4 linked regions of the Caenorhabditis elegans genome follow. The protein of the gene in region 1 interacts with the protein of each later gene in a pairwise test. Each region holds a gene or a part of one and is shown in the gene's direction. Other genes may lie near its edges.

Region 1 (5,825 bases):
GTTTTTTCTAAAATTCCGCTGTAAACTACAAACTACATTTTGCCACGTCATCGTTTTATGCCCCATATCCACGTATTCATTAGAAATTCTGTAATTCCTGAATTCATTTTGGCATGCATTCTATCTATAAAAAAGAAGATCGAGAAGAAGAAGAAAATGAAAAAATTCGGCGTCTTCATGTGCTCCTTAATCTATTCCAACATTTTTTTTTTGGTCTGCCAGACTACAAACTACAGATTTAGAACTAGCAGACCTAAGCTTCTTGCTCAAATTTGAAAATTTCCGAAAAAAATTGCAATTGTTTTTCCAAATTTCCCGTTTTTCGAGAATTTGAACAATTTTTCCCGCGTTTTCTGCACAATTTTGACGTTTTTGGGTTACTGTAGCGCCAAAAGTACGCAAACACCGAGTCTCTCACGCGAAAATGCACAGAATCTCAAAATCATCGGAAAAAACAGTCCCAGGGGTGAAATGAGGCGCTGAACTTGAATTTGACAGTTAAAATTATCAAAAAATACCTGAAAACATTGAAAATTCAATTTTTTTAGTTTTTTCTTTCAAAATTTCTTTTTCGGAAGATATATTCGCCTGGAAATAAATTATAGGGCTATATATTAAATTTCTAACATTTTTCTTATGTTTCCTGCTCAAATTTGTCTTTTGGGGGGTACTGTAGCCCCAAAAGTCCGCAAACACCGCACACCTTACGCGAAAATGCACAGAATCTCAAAATCCTCTGAAAAAAGTGTTCTAGGGGTGAAATGAGGTGCTGAGATCGAATTTCAATGTGAAAAATTATGAAAATCGTTGGATTTTGAGAAATTTTTTTGGTTTTTCGAAAAAAACCTGCACCTCCCCACCCCCCCCCCCCCCCCTCTTTCAGGGGGTACCCCTTAATCTATTCCCACTCATTACTACATCTTTTTTTTGCTCTCATTTTCTCTGCGTCTCTCACTTTCACATACTATCTCGTCGGGAGATTAGTGTGAAGAAGACGCTACCCTCAGAGAGCAGGAAATGCGCGGAATTTATTGGAAAATGTGTGTGCTCTCTCGATGAGGGAAATGGAGTGAAGAAAGGGGGGGGAGGAAATTGAGATAACATGTCAAAACTCGTGATATGATATAGCCAATAACATTGGTGAAAATTATAAGCCAGAAAAAAACATCGCAAAAAAAAATTTTTTTTAGCAATTTTTCCCGAAAATCTTTATTTATTCAATTTTCATCAATTTTTCATGCTAAAATTCGAACTCAGCACCTAATTTTACCCCTAATCCATCCTTTTCCGACAACTTTCGGTTTCTGTGCATTCTGTCGTAAGGTCCGGTGTTTGCGTACTTTTGGGGTTACCGTACCCCCGAAAAGTTGAGTTTTTGGCAAAATGTTTTTTTCTCGAAAATCTTTATTTTATCAAGATTTTTCCTGATTTTCATGTTAAAATTCAAACTCAGCACCTTATTTTATCCATACCACACCTGTTTCCGACATTTTTGAGATTCTGTGTTACCGTACCCCGCAAGACTTAAAAATTGAGCTAGAGACTCGGAAACAAGACTTTGGCTGGAAAATTTGACAAAAAATTCGTAGGGAACTTCAATTTTGATTTAAAAAAGTTTTTTTGGAATTTCGGGAAAAAAAAATTTTAGAAAATTTTTTTTCCAAACTTATTTTCTTTATTTTTCATTTTTCACTTTCTCAATTTTTCATCTAAAAATTCAAATTCAGGTCTTGATTTTACCCCTACCACGTCTTTTCCGGCAATTTTGAGTTTCTGTGCATTTTGTCGCAAGGTCCGGTGTTCGCGTACTTTTGAACCTACAGTACCCCCGCAATACTCGAAAATTGATCTAGAAACTCGGTAAAAAAGGCTTCGGCTGTAAAATTTGACGAAAAAATTGTTGAGAAGTTAAATTTTGGAAAAAAAAATTATTTTTGGAATTTCGGTGAAAAAAAATTTTTTTTTGGAATTTTTCAAGAACAAAAGTTTTGAAAATTTTCTGAATATTTTTTCCATGATCCCCTTTTTTGAGTTGTTTTTCAACGCAATTTTCTCTGCACTCTCTTCACTCTCTCATCCACTCCATTCATCATTTTTTCCAGCGCGCATGTCTGGAACAGAGATTCACTTTTATTTTTCCTTTTTTCTTTTTTTTTTTTTGCTCCAAAACTTCTTTTCCACTACTTGAAATTTTAAGTCTTAAAAATTTCAGCACAAAATGAGCGCATTTGAATGTCGAAAATGCGATGATTTTCCGATTGAGGAGAACACGGAGGACGAGGATGATGACGAGTGTCCGACGGTTATTCGGAGGGTAGGTTTTTTCAGGAAAACCGTTGATTTTTAAAGGTTTTAACTATAAAAATCAAATTCAGCAGCGTTTTTTTGCTCCTAAACCGGTTTTTTTGCAAAAAGCAACAAAAAAATTAAAAATTTTTTTTTTTTCAAAACTCGAAATTTTTCTCGAAAACCAGCAACTTTTAAAAATTTTCATATCAAAATTCAAATTCAGCGCCACTTTCTACCCCATTCCCAGCTTTTTCAGCCAATTTTAATTTTCTGTGCATTTTGTCGTAAGGTATGGTGCATCGATTTGTGTTTGCGTACTTTTGAGGCTACAGTAATTCCAAAAAACTTAAAATTGAGCCAGAAGTTTAGAGAAAAACTTATTAAGGGTGAAAAATTACGGAGAATCCGAATTTCTTAATAAAAATTGTGAAAAATTTCAAATTTCTACAAATTTTCCAGTAAAAAATTTTCTCGGCAAAAAAACGCAACTCATTTTTGGAATTTTTCACACCGAATTTCATTTTCAACACAATTTTTTACCCCTCAAACACCATTTTAAGTCAATTTCAAAGCATTCTGCATTTTGTCGTAAGGTGCAGTGTTTGCGTACTTCTGGAGCTACAGTAACCCAAAAAATTTCAAAAATGAGCTAGAAGCTCGAAAAAAAAAAGTTTCCAGGGTAAAAAATGTCGGGAACTCGATTTTCATATCGAAAAACCAAAAAGAAGCCTCTAAAACCTCCAAATTTCCTGAATTTTTTTCCAGTCCTACTCAGCCGACTGGCTGCACAACGACAATTCCTCTGGAGGTGATGACGATTCAGAAGAGGATTCTGACGCCGAATTTCTGGTTCATCCGTGTCTTCGGAGTATTATTAAATCGAAATCCGCTTACGCAGTTCCCCGTAACTCTGATGACGTTGCAGCGGCGGCAGCGATGAAAAATAACAGAATTAAGCCGAGCAAAACAAGCTTTGAGGTGAGCTGGATGAGGAGGTGGTGGTGAAGATGTAGTTTGTAGTCTTTGTAGTTTTTGTAGTTTGTAGTTTATAGTTTGTAGTCCGTCAGACCAATGTTTTTTAGTTTAAAATTGATTGAGTCTGCCATTTGCAGGTTCATAGTTTTGTGTGGTTAGATCTGTTATTTCGAAGTTGGTAATTTATAGTTTGTAGTTTATGGTTTGTAGTTTATAATTCGTAGTTTGTAGTTTGTAGTTTGTAGTCTGTAGTGTATAGTCCATCAGGCCAAAATTTGCAAGTTTAAAATTGATTGAGTCTGTCATATGTAGGTTAATAGTTTTGTTTGGCTAGATCTGCTATTTTGAAGTCAGAGATTTATAGTTGTAGTTTGTAGTTTGTAGTTTGTAGTTTGTAGTTTGTAGTTTCTAGTTTGTAGTTTGTAGTTTATAGTTTGTAGTTTATAACTTGTAGTTTGTAGTTTGTAGTTTGTAGTTTATAGTTTGTAGTCCGTCAGACCAATATTTGCCAGTTTCAAAATGATTTGATCTGCCAAATTTAAATTTTTTGTATATATTTTACAATTTATAGTTTATAGTTTGTAGTTTGTAGTCTAGCAGACCAGAACACCATTTTTCAGATTTCCTTATCAAAAATGATGGAATCAACGAGTAAAAGCATAGCGGAAGAAGCAGAATACTCAGTAGCCGACCTACTTCCGACACTTGATGAAAAATGGCCGGACCCTGAGGAAGAAAATGAAAATTTGAAGTCAAAGCGGCGGAAATCCAATATTATGAGGTGAAAATTCGAATTCTCCATCGTTTTTCACATGTTACCCGTTTTTTCTGGGTCTCTATCGTTAATTTTGAGACTTTTGGGGTACGGTAGCCCCAAAAGTCCGCAAACACCGTGAGCGTGACGCAAAAATGCACAGAAAAACTCCGATTTTGCTGAAAAAGTAGAGATATGGGTAGAAAATCATGCTGATATTGAGTTTTGGCATGAAAATTGTTGAAAAATCATTTTTATATCGCAAAAAAGGAACATTTTCCCTGTTAATCCAAATTTTCCCCCTTTGAAACATAAAAATTCGAATTCCTCACCATTTTTCACTTCTAGAATACTTTTTTTTGGAGTCCTAGCGTAAAATTTGAAAATTTGAGGTTACTGTAGCTTGAAAAGTGCGCAAACACCCAGCATCTTACGACAAATTGCAGAAAATCTTAAAATCGGCTGAAAAGGCGGGTTTAGGGGTAAAAAATGACGCTGAGCGTGAATTTTGATATGAAAAATGTTGAAAATATCTAGATTTTGTGAAAATTTGGAAAATTTGGTTCAGTATTGGTCTGCCAAAGTCCAGCATACTCTAAACTCAAATTTCCAGGTACTCCCCGAGCCTATGTGACTCTGATCTATCACTGAACCTCCATGATAAGGATTCTGAAGATGATGAGGATCGTATTCTAAACCGCCCGTCCGGATGTTGGTCCTCGCCGCCCAACTTCTTCGATGAAACATTTCGCGGTGTTTCTCCAATGAATCGTTAGTTTGTTTACTGTAGTTTGTAGTCTAGGCTTTACTATAAACTACAAAAATTGGTTGTGAAAAAATGTTTTGAAATATCAAAAAAAAAAAAGAAAAAAAATCGAATTTTTTCCCAAAAATTTCAAACGAAATCAAATTTTGACGTTAAAATTCAGATTCCTCGCATTTTTTCACCCTAGACCCATTTTTCCTGGTGTTTCCTGCTAAATTTTGATCATTTTGGGGTACTGTAGCCCCAATAGTACGCAAGTACGCAAACACCGAGCCCCTCACGCGAAAATGCACAGTTTTCTGGAATTGCGTAAAAAAGTTGGGGTAGGGGTGAAAAATGGTGCTGGAAACGAATTTAATAGTGAAAATGTTTTAAAATCGGCAGAAAATATAAAAATTTGAAGAAAATTTTAAAAGTTGTTTTTCAAAAAAAATTTTATCCAATTGTTTTGCACAAAATCAAATTATTAAGTGAAAATTCAGATTCCTCGAATTTTTTCACTCTAGCACCATTTTCCCCCGTGTTCTCTGCTCAATTTTGACCATTTTGGGTTACTGTAGCTCGAAAAGTACGCAAACACCGAGCCCCTCACGAGAAAATGCACAGTTTTCTACAATTGCGTAAAAAAGTTGGGGTAAGAGTAAAAAATGGCGCTGAAAACGAATTTTATAGTGAAAATGCTCGAAAATCAGCGGAAAATCCAGAAATTTTGAATTTTTTGAAATAAAAAAGTTTGAAGTTAAAAAAAAATTTCCAGAAAAGTGTTGGTCAGCACCGGATCTCGAGGATATTGTGTTCAAGACATGCAATGTGTTGTATAATTATGACGTCATCGGCGGCGGGAAAATTCCAATTTTGAGGGAGCTAATCGACGAGGACTCCATTGCAATTGGGTATCCAGTTATAGAAACACCTGATAATGGTATGTAGTTTGTAGTTTGTAGTTTGTAGTCTGCTAGATTACAAACTACAAATAAAATTTGAGTTCATGGCACATGTCCCCTTAGTTTTCTGGAAAACTTATTTGGGAAATTTTGAAAT
Region 2 (8,483 bases), on another chromosome or scaffold:
ACTCTAAAAAAATCCCAACACAAATAGGCCATGTTCTTAACTGTGTGATTCTATTAATAGACCTCCTTGTTTCTCATTTCATGACCGTATCATCCAAAACAATTTCAACCGATAGTCCTTTTTCAATGACCTTTTCATAACATTTAACTGTCCTAATCAAATCGGTAGTTTGTTGTTTTAGTTGTTTAACCAAATGGTTTTGTTGCAACTTCAAGCCTCGTGTACCTCTAAAAACAGATATTTTCATCATATCTTATTATGTCTCCGCCTCCTCCTCAATTTCTCACCAATTTCATCTTCTCCTCCTTCTCAATAGTTTTTCTCCCCACACACAAATTGCGCCCGCCCCCAATTTGCATTTTACTGTTGGTGTCCCTTGATGTGTCCCCCTATCGCCCAAAATCCCGTCGTTGTTACGTTACTATTCAGGCGGAACACACACAGTCACCAGAACCATCATATTTTATTTGTTTCTTTTTTCTTTTCCTTTTCTATTTGAAACCATCAACTTGGGATTTCCCATCTCACGTCTCAATGTTGCAGAATCTTTAGTAAAAGTCGAAACACAAATATATGATTTATTGGCAGGTTATTATCAGTTTGTGCCAATTTATTATCGAAGAACAGTTTGATTAAATCAAGTAAAGTCAGAAAGTCTATTCAACTTTTATTAAGAATTTTAAATATTTTCTATAATCTCCAAGAGTTCGACTCATATTAATGTGTATTCTTTACATTATAACTTTTAAAATTCAATTTTTTTCGCTTAAAAGTTCAAAAATCTGAAAAGAACAATCGGACAATCGTTGTGGTCGTCATAGAGCTGAAATGATCTACGAATAGTTCAAAGTACTGTATAATCTAGTAGCCATATACATTTTCATAATCCTCTCCGTATTTCTTTTCACCAATCCGCTCCGTCATTTTGCATTTTTAACAAGTTTCGGTTATTCCATATTTTCATTTACATAACTTACACGTTTATGTTTCTATTTCATGTTAATTCCATAGTATTCTGGATGGTTCCAAAATAGTTTTGAATTGTATATTGTTTGAATTGGTCCAACTCCGAGAATTACCAAAAGTTTAGAACATTTGAAGAAAACATAACAATGTTTGGTTATTGATAACATAAATTTTGTTGAATCTTCAAGCTTCATTTATTCATATTTTTCCAAATTTCAAAAAAGGATTTCTAAATTTAAAATGTCCACTAAACAATCCTTAATCTCTTGGCAGCTCCTCTTCTTCACACGTGGTTTTTTTCAGTTATCAGAACAATAATCGGTGGTGTGCCAGCTTGCTGAATTGGCTTGGCAAACTTTTTTTGCGTCCTTCTCCGCCACCGTCACTCGTTATCATCAATCACAAATTTTTGGCTGCTGCCACGTTAGACTCTGATTTGTAAGGGGGACATGAACTATTATCAGAAGCTAATTCTTAAATTCTAAAATGAAAATATTAATTTAGAAAAACGAGAAATAGATAATAAATGGAAACCTACTCTCGTTTCTTTCTCCAATAAATCAAATAAAAATAAGAAAAGTGCGACTGGTTGAGTCGTTACCTAACTTTATCAATATTTGATTAGAACTTAACAATGTTTTTGAAATGATCCACTTGGACGTACAAGAGGTAGTACACATTAAACTGACCGTTCGATTTTTTTTCTTAACTTTAATTCACTTAGAGAAAGGTAAAAGGAATCCATATATAAATTACGGGATGTAAATAATATTTTATTATTAAAGAAAGGTTTTAAAACAAACTATGTAGAATCTAGTCAAATAAGTAATTTTCTATTTCTGGAGATAATTTTATTTAAAATTGAATTTTCTTAATTACAGAGAAATTACGTTCAAAATCTCATTAAAAGATGTGATAACCCGACACCTCAATACATTGACCGTTTAATTTCTTTCCGTTTTCATATATATTTTCATCTAAACACATTCATATATTTATATATACAAATGAAACCTAAACCCGTTTAATAATCCGCCTGACCGTCTATCCATCCTGTCCGTCCGTCTATCCTCCTGTCCACCTTCCGACCACAATTACCGTCCCTTTTTCTTTCATTTTCACCGTTTATTTTTCTGAAATCCGTTGCTTTAATATGTATACATTTATATATACTTTTTTCCAGCAACAACAAATAGAAGAACACGAATTTTAATTTCAATTAATTCAAAATTTTTCCCATATCGACGCTGCCGTTTGCAGCACCATCTGTTAAAATGGAACAACTTGATGTCGAAGATTGGGAGTATTGGGGTGATGAATATCTTGAAGAAGAACCAACTTATGCAATAAGACCTGGTACAAGAGTTGTGAAAGTTGAAAGGTTAGTAAATCGATTATTATAACTTTTCTGTGCATTTGAACTTGCATCATAACCCTAACTTTTTTGAGAATTAATATCAAATTATTAAGATTTATTTGCTCAATTGATCAGTTGGAGATCATTTCATAGTTTTTTCTTTAATTTTTTGAACTTGTGAGATAAATAATTTTCAAAAAATTTTGTTTACCGAAGCCGCCAAAAAATTTTATCTCAAATATATAGCTCTAGTGGCTCTTTGATAAAAACATTGAAAATTGAAAAGAAAAGATTTACTTGAAACCCCATTTAATGCTAAATCTAAATTTATTCAAAGTCAATGTGATACAAAATCCCTTCAGGCCTTAAACTTTTACATCTATTCTGATATCAAAGCATTTGATAGTTTCAAAGAAATTACGACATTTTGGCAATCAATCGCTGATCTTCTGACGTTTTCAGATCAATTGACAATGATTTAAATGAACTTTTGAGCAATTATCTCAACTCATTAGAGCCATTAGATAGTTTTCAAGAAGCTGCAAGTACGTGTTCTATTTGCATTTTAATTCTAATTCCCTTTTGTATAGGACAGAGTCTCCCCTTTGTTATCTTATTCTTGCCCCGCCACGACGCAACAACCATTTTTGTGATAATAATTTGCAATTTTATCAATGGCACTACTACCTCTGATCACCACCATCTCACACATACTTTGTAAAAGCGCGTCGATCGTAAATACTACTGTCTTGCCACTTTAGTAGTAACCCTGCCACGTGGAAACTTTGAAATTTGGCGTGGAAATGAGTGAAGAGGCACGTGACAAGATGCGCGCGAAGAATGATCAAATTGCGATAAAAAGGGATAGGTGAATGATCTTTGTGATTTGAATGCTACTTGAGGAATGGTTTACATGGAAATTGAGAAAAAGTAAAATAAAAGGGTTCAAGGACGGTAATCGATCAATTTGAATGAATGAAGAAAGATATGATTGTGATTGATAAAAGGAATTTGCTACAAGAAACCGAGACGAACTGCATCGGTTCATATGAGTCAGATGTGTTCTTCGGTTGAAGAAGATCACTTAATTTAGTGAGAAGTTTCTTTTGAGATTCAATTTTGATTATATTCTTAGAAGTTTTCAGAAAGACAGTTTAGTATTCACTCCACAAGGTTAATAGCTAAAAGTATTCTCTACTCGATTCGAAAAATAATTTTTGCGGGTTTTTACTTTTAGTATAAAATATTTGAATTTGAAAAAATCTCTAGTTAGTAGTTTGTTCGTGTGCAAAGCTTAAACAGGATAATTAAAGTATTTTAAAATATAATCCAGCTTTGATTCTAGATCACAATTCAGCATCTACTTATAGATAAACTAGTATATGTTAACTTCCCCTATCCTATCCAATAACCTTTTCCTTATTCAGCTGTAAACAACAATTGATACAAGTTATCTTATCTCCAAATGCCTCCTCCAATTTTATGAGACCCGTAAAAAAATTCGATAGACAAAAAGCATTACGATTTTATTTATTTTGGTGACATTTTGGATCCTTGTAGTCAGAGGCTCTATCATTTGATCTTCTAATATATCTTTACAAAAAGGCAATACATCCAATTAGCCCAATTAGTCTGCACGTCTTGATATAAATATGACATCATACATTTACTGATTCGAATCGTTGATTTTTAATTTAGAATTAAGGATAAACAGAAAGAAGATTTAAGTGTTTGATTGGAGAATATAGGCATCCTATGCTAAAAGCTATCTCTAATTTATTACTGACATCATCCGTTTCTCGTCTGTGTTTCATGTATCTTTATCACCTTTCCCTCCTCTAGTAGAATGACCTAGAAAGTGATTGGCAAGTCTGGCAAGCCTACAGGGGGACAAGGGTTATAAGATTGATAGGTAATAAATTCTTGTAAAATGAAGAAAAAAAATTCTGTGCGGATAAACGAAGCGGAAATCATCATTGTGTGCGTGCTTTGAGGAAAGGTTCGCGCCTGTTTACTTGCCTTGTTCGGAGGTCGAGATTTCGGACACGAACCACCTCATATTTTTCTCTCGTTTCTTTTCTTCGATTCTCTTTTTTCCATTACTATCTCTCTTCCTTTGGTTCTTATTTTCTCGACAGTCTCTTTTGGTCAGTATAGTTCCTAACTAGGAACTGTTCGAAATCTGGCATGATAATTCTTCAAAAACGCTTATGAAACTTCAAAAACTCGGACTATTTTACTGTGAAAGTATATACCTCCGTTCGTTTCAACAAAAAAAAAGTTAAGCTTTGAAACTATAGAAAAATTAATAATACATCTGCTGCCAGTTGATTTTAAATTGATTCAATCGAAAATAGCCAAGATATCAGGTGCCAAAGTTGAGCAAGATTAATTGAGAAAATAATGTTTTTGGGAGTGCATTTTTTCAAATATACAAGTAGTTTATCAACAAAAAATTATTTTGTACTGGTGTAATTGATTTAAAAAACAAGTAATTGATGTGAAAAACAAGCTTAAATACTGTTCTAAAATAAAGTTACAGGTGTTAAAATGTTTTAAACAAATTATTTACTATTTGTTCAAAACCTTAGTGACATCTAATCTTTATGTTTTCATTTTCTCTTCATCCTCTCAAGCGTCTTCTGTTTTGTATTCTTCTTCTTCTTTATTTCAAATCAGTGTCTCTTTCGCCTTGTTATCAGTAAATCGTCGTCGTCTTCTCCTCCTTCATCTCCTTTTATTTCAATGTCACTCCCACTTAATTTCCCCCATTTTGTAATATTATCATAGAGAGACACCGCCCCATAGGTATTCCCCCAAATACGTCAGTTTTTCCACGTGGAACTTTTTGGTCTTTTTGATGTGTGAACTTTGATAGTTTGCAACAAATTGAAATTATGAATTTTTTTTATCATCAATGGAATTGGTCACTGTTCCAATGATTTTTTAATTGGATTCTTAAATGCCTTTTGGCTAGAAAACTTTGCACATTTAGCTCCGATTAAGCAATGAATTTTTACAATAACAAAAAAGTGCCTATCGACTTTCAATTCCGCTTCCACACACAAAATTTTGCAATTTTGAAACTGAAAAAACCGTATCAAATATAATACTCTTTTGAAAGTTTAATCACTTGAAAAATGTAATTCCGTCTTCACCAAAAAACGTTGTATTTTCCAAGACACAAATTATTGTGGGAAGATCAAGAAATCAAAATTTCAAGGACACACTCTAGTTTTTAAATTTTATTATTTTTGTGTTTGAAACTAATTTTCCCGATCTTTTAACTTTAAAATTTCCAGAGTTCCAATGATGCGAGGAGATTTAAGGACAAGCGGTGCCACGTCATCAAGTGGTCCCGCCACGTCATATATCATCAGGCCCAGTGACAAGCAACCCACAGTTTCTAGTGGTGGATCACAGAATGGAGATTCAGTTTGTGCTGTTTGTGGTGACGGAATTGCAAAATTACATTATGGAGTACTTGCATGTTATGGATGTAAAGGATTCTTTAGAAGAACACTGACTGGAAAATATCGATATGCATGCAGATTCTCAAATAATTGTATTGTTGATAAATGTAAGTTTTTTAAAGAATAAATTCGAATATACTTGACTGAGTATCTTTATAATCAAGAAAATACCTGAAGTTTCGGTTTTCAGTCCAGCGAAATAGTTGCCGATACTGCAGATTTCAACGTTGTATTCAAGCAGGAATGGATCCAAAAGCAGTCAGGCCGGATAGGGATCAGACAGGAAAACAGAAAGTTCCAAGAATTAAGAAGAAGCAAATTGATGAGGAGCTTTTAAATCATATGGTATGTTTTGAAAATGTAGATACACTGAAAAAAAACTGGTGGCAAATTTAAAATTTCCAAAAATTTGACAATTCACAAAAACTTGACATAAAATTATGGAAAATCTCAAAATGATTTGAGTGTTTTTTGTGATGTTTTCTATTTGTTCTGGAATAATCGAGTGAAAAATGTTTATGCATATTCAAACAGTTAAAATTTAGTTTGTGTTGTTGATAAAATCCAGAATAACTTACACTATACATGAATGATGTATAAATTAATACTTGAAATTTTCAGATGCGGTTACAAGGAGATGATTGGTCACGAAAACTTCCTGTCGAGACTCGAATTTTATTAATGCAATTGATGAGTATTGAGGATAAAGTAGTAAAAGGAGATAATAATATGAGTGCACAAAACACTGCAAAAGATCCAAAAAGTATTTCATTACGGGAAATGTTTGAATCAAAACCTGCATTAGATGGTCGACGGATGGAAATTGGTTATGAACCATTTCGAATGGCAAGAACTGAAGAACTTGGAGTAATTGCTCATAGAAGAGCAATTGCAGCTGTTGATTGGGTTGATTCATTAACTGAAATTGCGGATGCAGTTGATACTGAAGATAAAGTTGCATTGGTTAAAAGTTGTTACTCGCCGTTAACTATTTTCAATTTCTCTGCGAGAACTGCTCAGAATACGAAGAATCCGGATATTTTGTGTCTTTGCAGTCATTCATTTGTTCCAAGAAGATTGCCTCCAGAGTTTAATGAGACAAAGTAAGTTGGAATTTTAATTTAATTCCAATTTTTATCAACGCAATAAAAATATATGAAAAATACTATTTAAAATTAAAGAAAATTAATTTGATTTATTCAGTCATCTCTCAAACTTCCTGATTGATCGAACGTTAAATGAATTGGTGGCTCCATTGAGAAAATTAAATCTGAAAGAAGAAGAAATTGTTCCATTAAAAGCAATTATTATTTTAAATCCAAATGCAAAAGGACTATCCGAGCATGCGAGGCACGCGATTTCTGAGTTGAGAGATAAAGTTCAAGATATGCTTTTCCAAATTGTCAAGGAGCTTCATCCAATCTATTCTGCAAGCAGCCGATTTGGAAACTTGTTGCTTCTTCTGCCAACAATTACTGTTAGTCGTCATTACTGTTGCATTCTCTATTTCAAAACATTTCAGACTCTTTCCGGATTGATGTCTGAAAACATGCATTTCTGTCAAGCTCTTGGAGGACGTGCAAGTGGAGATAACTTGTTAGCTGAAATGTTTGGAGATAGAACATTTGATGATCAACTTATCAGCAGCAGCATTAGCCCACCACTATTCGAGAATCCAGCTGAAATTTGTTTAGAGGTCAGTTCACTAAAAATGACTGAAAGATCAAACTTTATATCATTATCTTTTTCTTTTAATTGTCATTAAAACTATAAACTCATTAAAACTATAAAATTTCGGAGTTTCTCGGAGAATTGAAAGTTGAAATTTGCCAACTACCAACTGATAAATGGCAATGATAAGAGTGTGCAAAAATCTAATTTCTTGTTTGTTTGCAGAGTATCTCACCGCCAATGTCTGATCGAAGATTCGTGAGAAGGGTAGATGTGGCAACACAGACAAATGATGATTTGTTATCATCTGGACCATATCTTCCACATTCAAATTCATGTAGCTCCATGCTTAATGCTGGATACTCTCCTCCAATGGTGAGAGAAGTTTGAAAATATTTATGGAATTTGAGGGAAAATATGTTGAAACTTTCTTGGATAGTAAAGATTCTAAATTGAGGGAACTAGCTTCAATGCGTTTTACACAAACATATTCTTAAGAATATACAAGAAGTTTGAAAAACGTTCAAAAAAGCTCAGATAGAGGCTGTGACTATTATCGATTTTTCTTTTATACAAATCGGTACCTATTTTTGCTAACTCGCTCCAAGTCTCTTAACATTTTTTTCTTGGGAATTTCTATTTCTATTATTAACACCGTTTCAAGTTAAGACTAAAGTGGTCGAGCCCAAGAAACTCCTTCCATATGTGGGCTTTTTTGCGTTTTTCAAATGTCTTGTGGCTAGGGAAATGTTTCTTTAAAATTAACATTAAAAAATCCAAATTCTCCAAAATTTATATAATGAGTGAATTTTCAGCTGTCAACATCTCCATTCCCACTTCTCGATGACAATGACAGTGCCTTCCAGAATGACATCAGTTTGACTGAGCTGAATGGTTGTGAAGAGTTCTTCAGTCAACTTATGGATCAACCAATCATTGACAGCTAAAATCTACAGACCAACCCATCTTGCCCGTAATTTCTCATTACTTATATGTGTACATATCTCATTAAAAAA
Region 3 (4,538 bases), on another chromosome or scaffold:
AAGTATTGTATTGTATATACACATAACTAGTGTCACAATTATACATTGGATGACTACATTCTCTTGCAACATTGTCCATTTCCACACGGAGAATAGTTTTGCTGGCAAGAGCAGGAGTTGACTGATTGAGTGAGGCATGGCATCTGGACTAGTTGAGCAGTAGAGCACGATTGATAGCATGATTGGGTGCATGCTGGAGCACATTGCTGCATTGGTTGTTGTTGTTGAATGCATTGTTGTTGGCATGATTGTTGGCATTGTGGAACACATTGAGCAGATTGAGACACTGAAGGTTCTAGGATGACAGTCACAATTTGTGGAGCAACAACTGGAGATTGGCATGCTGATTGGCATTGCTGACATTGTGGAGCAGCTGGTTGCTGACATTGTGGAATACATTGTTGTTGGCACTGTTGAGTCTGTTGGCACGAAGTTTGACATTGTTGGCAAGCTGGTGCAGATGGAAGTGTGCATTGTGGAGCACACTGTTGCTGGCAAACTGGAGCATACTGCTGGCAAGTATTCTGGCACTGCTGGCACTGTGGAGCTGATGGCTGTTGGCATTGAGGAGCACACTGTTGTACGCATTGTGGAGCTGCTTGCTGACAGGTTGTCTGGCATGGTTGAGTACATTCCTGATAGCACTGTTGAACTGGAACTTGTTGTAGAAGACATTGTTGTTGACACTGTTGTTGGCATTGTGGAGCACATTGAGCAGAGATTCCCAAGTTGACATTGATGACTTGTGGAGCAACAGTTGGAGCACATTGTTGAACACATTGCTGCTGACATTGTGGTTGACATTGTTGAATTGGTTGAGCTTGAACACATTGTTGAGTGCACTTTTGTTGGCATTGTGGAACACACTGGACTGTGACTGGAGCTGGAGCAACACAGGATTGTTCACAGGCTGGCATGCAAGATGGTTGACATTGGACTGGAGCTGGAGCAGCTATTTGAGTATAACAGGAAGACGTCTGACAAGTCTGCTGGCATGAAGATTGACACTCATTCATAGATGGAGCAAATTGACATTGGTTCTGGCAAGACTGCTGACAAGCTGGAGCACATTGAGAAGTTTGCACTTGGTAAGTTACTTGCTGAACTGGTTGGGCACATGAGCAGGATGTCTGGACTGGAGCAGTGTTCTGACACGAACAACTGTACTGTTGTGGTTGAGTTGCTTGTTGGCATGAACAACTTGGTTGAACTTGTGAAGCACAACCACATGATTGACGTTTATCACGAATTGATGTTGCCTGGAAAAAACTTCTGTGAACTTGGAAAACAAGCATTTTGTTGCTAACATCGATTACGTCCAACAAATATTTGTAAGATGTGGGCACTTAGAAAACTAGACCGTATTATCAAGAACATTTTGAAAAAACTGTACATGATGAATTTTTCATCAAGTGATGGAAAATTGTTGTAGTTAATATAATATTTTTAATTATTAATAAACCGAAATACTAACTGAAAAAGTTTAGAAATGTCGTGCCATTCTAAAAGTGAAAGTACAATGAAACTTTATCAAACCTCGATAAGCAGACAGCTGGAAGCAAAGAGAGCTACAAATACGATGAAACGCATGATAATGGTTGAAGAAGCAGGGCTTGATGATTTCCACAGATATCAAGGCTTTATATACCCCCTCAAACACTGCTTGCGTACGATTATAGCAATGTAAAAAAATAGTGCCGGAAAAAATAGTCCAAGAGTTCAAGTCTTGTAATTTCGAATGGCTATTGTGAGAGCAAACAAAAAGGTGTTTCTAATAATGAGTGGCGTCAAAAGGCAATAAACAATTTAAAATCGTTTTGTCGAAATCCGAACTCTAAAGTTCAACAGGTAACCCTTTCATTACTTTTCTGAAAATGTAAACGAAATTTTTTGGTACACATAGTTAAGCGGAAACTCGGCGCAATCCAAAAAAAAAACACTGTATCAGTGCAAACGCGCACCCAACCTCTTTTTGATCTTTGCAACTTGCCGTGCCCTCAAGAAATAGTGTGTGTAAGACTGGGAGGCGACGAGCGTGTTTTTTGGTTCATTTGCCATGTTATCATTGTTATGTTTGCGCTGAGCATGAAGCCGGTTGATGGATGGAGTTTGATAAGTGGGACGGAACTGTTTGATGGCTAATGAAACAGGGTTGTAGGACGTTGGTATAAAAGTCGGAAAAATTAAAACAAGGGCATCAATTGTCTCTTAGCAGCTCTTCAATCATATTGACAATGCGTTTTATTACAATTGCAGCAGTTCTTCTTGTTTCTAGCCTTCTTATTGTTGAGGTACGATTTGTATTACTGTTGCTTCACTTACTTTCTGAATTATCTGTAGAATTAGTTAACAATTTATATGTACACCTTGAAACATTATATTATTTCTAGGCATCTTCAATTCGTGATAAACGTCAATCATGTGGTTGTGCTTCACAAGTTCAACCAAGTTGTTCATGCCAACAAGCAACTCAACCACAACAGTACAGTTGTTCGTGTCAGAACACTGCTCCAGTCCAGACATCCTGCTCATGTGCCCAACCAGTTCAGCAAGTAACTTACCAAGTGCAAACTTCTCAATGTGCTCCAGCTTGTCAGCAGTCTTGCCAGAACCAATGTCAATTTGCTCCATCTATGAATGAGTGTCAATCTTCATGCCAGCAGACTTGTCAGACGTCTTCCTGTTATACTCAAATAGCTGCTCCAGCTCCAGTCCAATGTCAACCATCTTGCATGCCAGCCTGTGAACAATCCTGTGTTGCTCCAGCTCCAGTCACAGTCCAGTGTGTTCCACAATGCCAACAAAAGTGCACTCAACAATGTGTTCAAGCTCAACCAATTCAACAATGTCAACCACAATGTCAGCAGCAATGTGTTCAACAATGTGCTCCAACTGTTGCTCCACAAGTCATCAATGTCAACTTGGGAATCTCTGCTCAATGTGCTCCACAATGCCAACAACAGTGTCAACAACAATGTCTTCTACAACAAGTTCCAGTTCAACAGTGCTATCAGGAATGTACTCAACCATGCCAGACAACCTGTCAGCAAGCAGCTCCACAATGCGTACAACAGTGTGCTCCTCAATGCCAACAGCCATCAGCTCCACAGTGCCAGCAGTGCCAGAATACTTGCCAGCAGTATGCTCCAGTTTGCCAGCAACAGTGTGCTCCACAATGCACACTTCCATCTGCACCAGCTTGCCAACAATGTCAAACTTCGTGCCAACAGACTCAACAGTGCCAACAACAATGTATTCCACAATGTCAGCAACCAGCTGCTCCACAATGTCAGCAATGCCAATCAGCATGCCAATCTCCAGTTGTTGCTCCACAAATTGTGACTGTCATCCTAGAACCTTCAGTTTCTCAATCTGCTCAATGTGTTCCACAATGCCAACAATCATGCCAACAACAATGCATTCAACAACAACAACCAATGCAGCAATGTGCTCCAGCATGCACCCAATCATGCTATCAATCGTGCTCTACTGCTCAACTAGTCCAGATGCCATGCCTCACTCAATCAGTCAACTCCTGCTCTTGCCAGCAAAACTATTCTCCGTGTGGAAATGGACAATGTTGCAAGAGAATGTAGTCATCCAATGTATAATTGTGACACCAGTTATGTGTATATACAAGACAATACTTCTTTATACTTTTTTAATAAATAATATTGATAACTTTAAGTTTTTACTCAAATTTAGAAAAAAAAAAAAAACTTTGACCACTGAGCGGATCGAACGCCCAACCTTTCGATCTGGAGTCGAACGCGCTACCATTGCGCCAAGCAGTCACATTTTCCTTTGTCATCTAGTGCAATGACACGAAAGGGGTAGAGAGAAAGGAGAGAATAAGGAGGGGACATATGGCGGTAGAAAAACCGGTGACGGACTACTCTCTTCATCGTTTATCACATATTCTGAGTGTTTGTTTTTTCAAATTTAATGGAGGAAATAGATAGAATAGTGAGGAAATGAGAATGTTATTGATTTTCATGGCGGCATTGGTGTGAAACTTGTTGCTCCTACTGACGCGATTGTGCCAACTCTTGACTGTTTAATCTCTTTGAAACTTCTGAACAGAATCATTCGAATTCCTGGAAGTTTGTGAGGTTTTTCTTGCACGGGTTGTTGCAAGCACCCGACATCTACCGGGTTCTCGATGTGAACATATGCTGAATCCGCTAGAAGTCAAGCGCTACGGAACACTATGGAAAAATGAAGACCGCCAGATGTCGGCTGCAACTGAAAGTTTTGGGAATTTGCTTACTTTTTGCAGTCATTCGATACTCCGAAACGACATACATCACAATAAGTGAATCCGTGGCTGGATACAAAGTAAAGCTGCACAGCATTACTCCAGACGGCAAGCTCACATCTAAGTTGAATAAAGGAAGGAAAATTATGACAGTTATTGGAATGAATAATATGATCGTCGGCATTGTGATCTACATTGTAACAATTTTAGTAATCGGACTTAAGCGGCCGACACCTTGCGGGTTTTCTGTGGAAACCCATGAGGTGTCGGGCGCAAAGCA
Region 4 (5,132 bases), on another chromosome or scaffold:
TGCAACTTCTGCAATTGCTGGTTGCCGAAAATCTCGCTTGCCGTAACATCCCTGCTCCTATCGCCCAGTATTACCCATAGTTGCCTAGGCTGATTTACTCACATAAAAATTTAATGCTCAGAACATGAGCTTTTTGTGCTCTCTTACTAGTTATAATGCGAAAAAGCTCAATTTTCATCTCGTGCACGATGGGAGGATTTTTGAGCAACCTTTTCGATTTCTTTAAAAATTTTAGTATCAGGATTATTAAAAACACATAGATATTAAAAAATATTGTTGAAAAATTCCCACCCACTAATTAGAATGACGTGACTTAAAAAAAACAAAAAGAATGAAGAAAACGAGGAAATGGGGGAAATGTGGGTGGAAAATGAGAGGAAAGGCAATAAAATACATACATACACTCACCCCCGGATATACAATTATTGAGGATGAAGAGGAGGAGGAGAAGAAGAAAATCTGGAAATTGAATAATAATAATTTGTAGCAGGAGTAGGCAGAAAACTATTTTTCCGGCAAACCGGCAAATTGTGGTTTTTTTGTGAAATTCAGAATTTCAATTTCAATCGGCAAAATTGTACACATCCTAGGAATGTTCATACATCTATTTTTAAAAGTAAGCAAATTATATAAAAATATCTAAAGAAAACGGGAAAAGTTCAAATAGGCACAGTTTTAAGTATTTTCGTCTTATAAAAAATCCCTCTAAATATTTACGGCAAATCAGATATTCGGCAAATCGGCAAGCCGGCAATTTGTCGACAAAAAAATTTGCCGGAGCAATTGCCGCCCACCCCTGATTTGTAGTGCGATTAAACAAATTCAACAATATATTTTAATAGTTTTCAAGAAAAAATGTTTTTTTTTTAATTCAAAGTTAGGCAGGGGTCATGATATTGGGAAAATCGTGAGGCTGAATTTTTCTGCAATTTTCAAATTTCCAAAACTATGCACAATGAGCTTCTCGAGAGACTCCTTTCTCTCTCTCTCTTTTTTTCGCTTCGTTTTTTCTATTTTCTAGAAGGGACGCGCACTCACTCACGCTACACTCAATTTAGTTAAATTGCTCTAGAATGTGTTGCTGGAATGGGGAAAAGAGGAACAACGTCATCTCTCGAGAGCTCTCATAATTGGGTGAACGCATCACTGAACACACCACGACAACTTTGGCTGGGCAGGAAAATGAGTTTATGGGAGAAACGGGAAAGTGTTGGAAATGTTGTTTTTTGTAAAGATTGACTGAAAACAATTTTAAAAATTTAAAATGTTCCTGTGATTTTTTTAATTCAGAACTTCGAGCCTCCCGCAAAATTTTTTCGGAAATTTTAAACTGCTTGAATTTCCCGCCTGAATTATTTGAAAAAATAATTTTTCCGACAACGTTTTTTTTGATGAAAACTTAGAATTAAAATACTATAAATCCTGAGAATGCGTATTGCGCAGCATATTTTACGCGCAAAATATCTCGTAGCGAAAACTACAGTAATTCTTAAAATGACTACTGTAGCGCATGTGTCGATTTACGGGCTCAATTTTTGAAGTTATTTTTTTTCGAATAGTAACATCGAAATATCATTTTCATTCGTTTTTTCGTATTATTTTCCCTTTTCTCTTAAAGTTAATTTTAAAAATCGAACCCGTAAATCGACACAAGCGCTACAGTAGTCATTTAAAGATTACTGTAGTTTTCGCTAAGAGATATTTTGCGCGTCAGATATGCTGTTCGCGTTTGGGGAATATCGATCGTCACTAGTCAAAAATTTTAGAGGGGTATATAATGTTTATAATGTTTATATGACAATTTTTAAAATAATGCATCTATTTTTCATTGAGAAATTTTTATTAATTGTTTTTCTTATATTCATTTGAAACTATAACATCATATCTTTGATTAATCATTATTTAAATCTTAAAATTTCTCGAGCCCTATTTAAATAAAACTTAATTAAATTTATCGACAAGATCCCGCAGAAAAACTAAATTTGAAATTCCCTCTCATTGTGTTGCGTACAGCACACCAAATGTTACGCAACTTTCTCTGCGTCTCTCTCCATCGCATTGTCTCTCTTCTACCGTAACCTTCAAGTTTTCTCTTCAAAAAATAGTTTTTCAAATCCAATTTTCGTTCTTTTTCTGTTTTCCCGCTGTAAAACTAAGAAATCTGAACAAAATGCAATTTTATTTCTTTTCCCAAGCTTTTTCTTATCAATCAATCTCTTTGTTCTCTTTCTCCTACTCTTCTCCGCTTCAAAACTTGTTATCAAATCGTACTACTGCTTTCTGCACAAGTATATATTATCTCCCTCAGTCTTATCGTTATATTTTACATTCATCGCTACTATTTTCCATCAAAAAGTAATCGTACTATTCAGAGAAAATGAGCTCGCTCACCGACAAAACCCGAAATGGAGCCCTGAAGCGGAATCTGCTCCGCCAAATGCTCAAAGCGAGCGTCTTCAAATTCGGCGAGTTTCAGCTCAAGTCTGGGCAGATTTCACCGATTTATATCGATCTTCGCGAATGCTTTGGGCATCCGGGGCTTTTGGTGAGTTTTTTAAAGTTTAAAAAAAAAATAATAGCTTATTTTAATGATTTTTATTTAAAAGAAAACTATTTCCAGATGCTTATCTCAGAAGCGATATCGAAGCAGGTGGAGATTAGCGAGGTTCAGTACGCTGGAGTTCTTGGAATCCCATACGCGGCTCTTCCCTACGCATCAGTCGCCGCTGGAAACTATCTGAAGAAGCCGCTGCTCATCGTTCGCAAAGAGGCCAAGTCCTACGGCACGAAGAAGCTCATCGAGGGATTGTACCAGCCAAACGATCGTCTGATCCTCATCGAAGACGTCGTGACGACAGGTGGAAGCATCCTGGACGTGGTAAAAGTGCTTCACACAGAGAATTTGGTCGCCTCGGATGTATTTTGCATTCTGGATCGAGAACAAGGCGGGCGTCAGAAGCTCCAGGACGCGGGTGTCACGCTGCACAGCCTGCTCGACATGCAAACAGTTCTCACATTCTTGTACTCAACTGGAGCGATCGGTGACGAGCAGTGGCACGGAATTGTTCAGGTTAGTCAAATTATCTCGATTTTCTATTTAAAAATAAAATAATTGATTATTTCAGGCTCTCAACCTTCCGTACACCTCCCCAACAAAGCTGGAAATCAACAGCGAGCTCGAAAACCTGTCCAGTCTACCGTACGTGGAAAACGTGCGAACTCCGCTTGCGGAACGCGAATCCCTCACAGAATCTGCACTCATCAAGAAAATTCTTGGAATCATGCGCCGGAAGAAGTCGAATCTGTGTCTCGCTGTCGACTACACTACCGTCGAGCAGTGCCTTCAGATGATCGAGCTCGCTGGTCCATTTGTGCTGGCGATCAAGCTTCACGCCGACGCTATCACCGATTTCAACGAGGAATTCACGAGGAAGCTGACGACGATGGCAAATGATATGGACTTTATCATTTTCGAGGATCGGAAGTTTGGCGACACTGGAAACACGAACCTTCTTCAGCTCACTGGAGCCCAGAAAATCGCCAACTGGGCGGATGTTGTGACTGTTCATGCCGTACAAGGAAGTGACAGCATTGCAGGAGTCTTCAGGAAGCTCGCCAAAGATCCGACTTACAGGCTCAGTGGAGTTCTCCTCATCGCGCAGCTCAGCACCAAAGGATCTTTGACTGCGCTGGAAGGATACACCGAGACCGCCGTCAAGATTGCCAACGAGAATCGTGACGTGATTTCTGGATTCATCACTCAGACGAGAGTGTCTGCTTGCTCGGATCTTCTCAATTGGACGCCCGGTGTGAATCTCGACGCGAAATCCGACTCGGCCGGTCAGCAGTGGAGAGGTGTCGACGAGGCGATCGAAGTACAGCAGAACGACATCATCATCGTCGGAAGAGGCGTCACGTCGTCCAGTGAGCCCGTTCAGCAGCTCAAGAGGTTTGTTTTTTTTTTTTTAATTAAATTTTTAAATGTCAATTTTCTCTTTCAGATATCGACAAATCGCCTGGGATGCGCTCACGAGAAGCGACGATAGCATTTGAAAGTTGAAAAATCCGGAGAGCCTATTTGTAAAGAAGAAATGTGAATATTTATCTAATTACGTATTTATTTAACTTTGTTGATTTTGTTCAAGCTTCCCCAGAATTGTTGAAATAAGTAAATTGATTGCCTCCATCTTCCTCAAATTATCAAGAAATCACATGCCCACACCATTTACTTTACTGCTAACCTGATTAATCAATATTTTCTCCGTCAAGGCGAAAAGCTACTCCTCTAAGCGATCTTATCAGTTCGAAAAATCGGCATCTGATGTGTGAACGACCCGGTGTGTATTCTATAATGTCCTTTGATCTTTTCCTCCATGCTGAAAACATCAGAAACGATTCGATTCCTTATCAGTGCCGCCGCGAAGTTGATAAAAGACACGAGCATCACTGCTCCGGGTGCATTTTCGCTTCATTTCTCCAGTTTTTCATCTTAAAATCTACAGAATGACTCGCATTCTTCCGTGTCTTTTCCTTGTCTTGCTCGCCGCTGCTCCACTTCTAGCCAATCCAGCTAACCCACTCAATCTCAAGAAGCATCACGGTGTTTTCTGTGATGTCTGCAAGGCTCTCGTCGAGGTTTGTGCTCCAAATATCTCCAATTTTCCTCGTTATTCACATATTTCAGGGTGGAGAGAAGGTTGGAGATGATGATCTCGATGCATGGCTTGATGTGAACATCGGAACTCTTTGCTGGACTATGCTGTTGCCGTTGCATCACGAGTGTGAGGAAGAGCTGAAGAAGGTCAAGAAGGAGCTGAAAAAGGATATTGAGAACAAGGATTCTCCAGACAAGGCGTGCAAGGATGTTGATTTGTGCTAAGAATAATAAATGTTTCCTTCAAAATCATCAAAATATTCTTTCATTTAACAAAAACAGAAACAACGGCGAAATTGGTTTGTGCGCGTGGAATTTTAGAGTTATAAAAATTAGAACTCGTGTTGGTTCTAGTTGTTGAATGGGGGAAAAGTTCTCAGCTACCCTGAGAACACGTAAACTAGAAAACCACACACGGTAGAAGGGAGGGGGTATAAAATTAGAAATTAGAATATAATTGTCTCGAAACACACACACA

Evidence for each region.
Region 2: the proteins of jip-1 (region 1) and nhr-31 interact in a two-hybrid assay, tested with the Caenorhabditis elegans proteins (one large-scale study listed by BioGRID).
Region 3: the proteins of jip-1 (region 1) and pqn-90 interact in a two-hybrid assay, tested with the Caenorhabditis elegans proteins (one large-scale study listed by BioGRID).
Region 4: the proteins of jip-1 (region 1) and umps-1 interact in a two-hybrid assay, tested with the Caenorhabditis elegans proteins (one large-scale study listed by BioGRID).

The regions. Positions count from the first base shown.
Region 1 is NC_003280.10:1,324,783-1,330,607, forward strand, and holds the start of jip-1 (PID domain-containing protein), read left to right. Parts: upstream 1-2,212; 5' UTR 2,213-2,218; coding exon 2,219-2,314; intron 2,315-3,054; coding exon 3,055-3,267; intron 3,268-3,884; coding exon 3,885-4,045; intron 4,046-4,631; coding exon 4,632-4,789; intron 4,790-5,541; coding exon 5,542-5,706; intron 5,707-5,825.
Region 2 is NC_003282.8:8,023,180-8,031,662, reverse strand, and holds the start of nhr-31 (Nuclear hormone receptor family member nhr-31), read left to right. Parts: upstream 1-2,149; 5' UTR 2,150-2,240; coding exon 2,241-2,347; intron 2,348-3,005; exon of another isoform or gene 3,006-3,152; intron 3,153-5,625; coding exon 5,626-5,903; intron 5,904-5,986; coding exon 5,987-6,141; intron 6,142-6,417; coding exon 6,418-6,899; intron 6,900-6,999; coding exon 7,000-7,273; intron 7,274-7,318; coding exon 7,319-7,492; intron 7,493-7,692; coding exon 7,693-7,842; intron 7,843-8,282; coding exon 8,283-8,414; 3' UTR 8,415-8,483. UniProt on the Caenorhabditis elegans protein: Orphan nuclear receptor.
Region 3 is NC_003282.8:15,288,959-15,293,496, reverse strand, and holds pqn-90 (Prion-like-(Q/N-rich)-domain-bearing protein), read left to right. Parts: upstream 1-2,234; coding exon 2,235-2,291; intron 2,292-2,308; exon of another isoform or gene 2,309-2,330; intron 2,331-2,360; exon of another isoform or gene 2,361-2,390; coding exon 2,391-3,596; downstream 3,597-4,538. Other genes in the region: pqn-91 (Prion-like-(Q/N-rich)-domain-bearing protein), read right to left, coding at 54-1,259, 1,537-1,590.
Region 4 is NC_003281.10:10,354,889-10,360,020, reverse strand, and holds umps-1 (Orotidine 5'-phosphate decarboxylase), read left to right. Parts: upstream 1-2,372; 5' UTR 2,373-2,377; coding exon 2,378-2,545; intron 2,546-2,620; coding exon 2,621-3,070; intron 3,071-3,125; coding exon 3,126-3,949; intron 3,950-4,001; coding exon 4,002-4,053; 3' UTR 4,054-4,184; downstream 4,185-5,132. Other genes in the region: spp-1 (Saposin B-type domain-containing protein), read left to right, coding at 4,504-4,635, 4,685-4,879. UniProt on the Caenorhabditis elegans protein: Bifunctional enzyme which catalyzes the formation of UMP from orotate in the de novo pathway of pyrimidine biosynthesis. May also form UMP from uracil. Regulates the size of gut granules during embryonic development.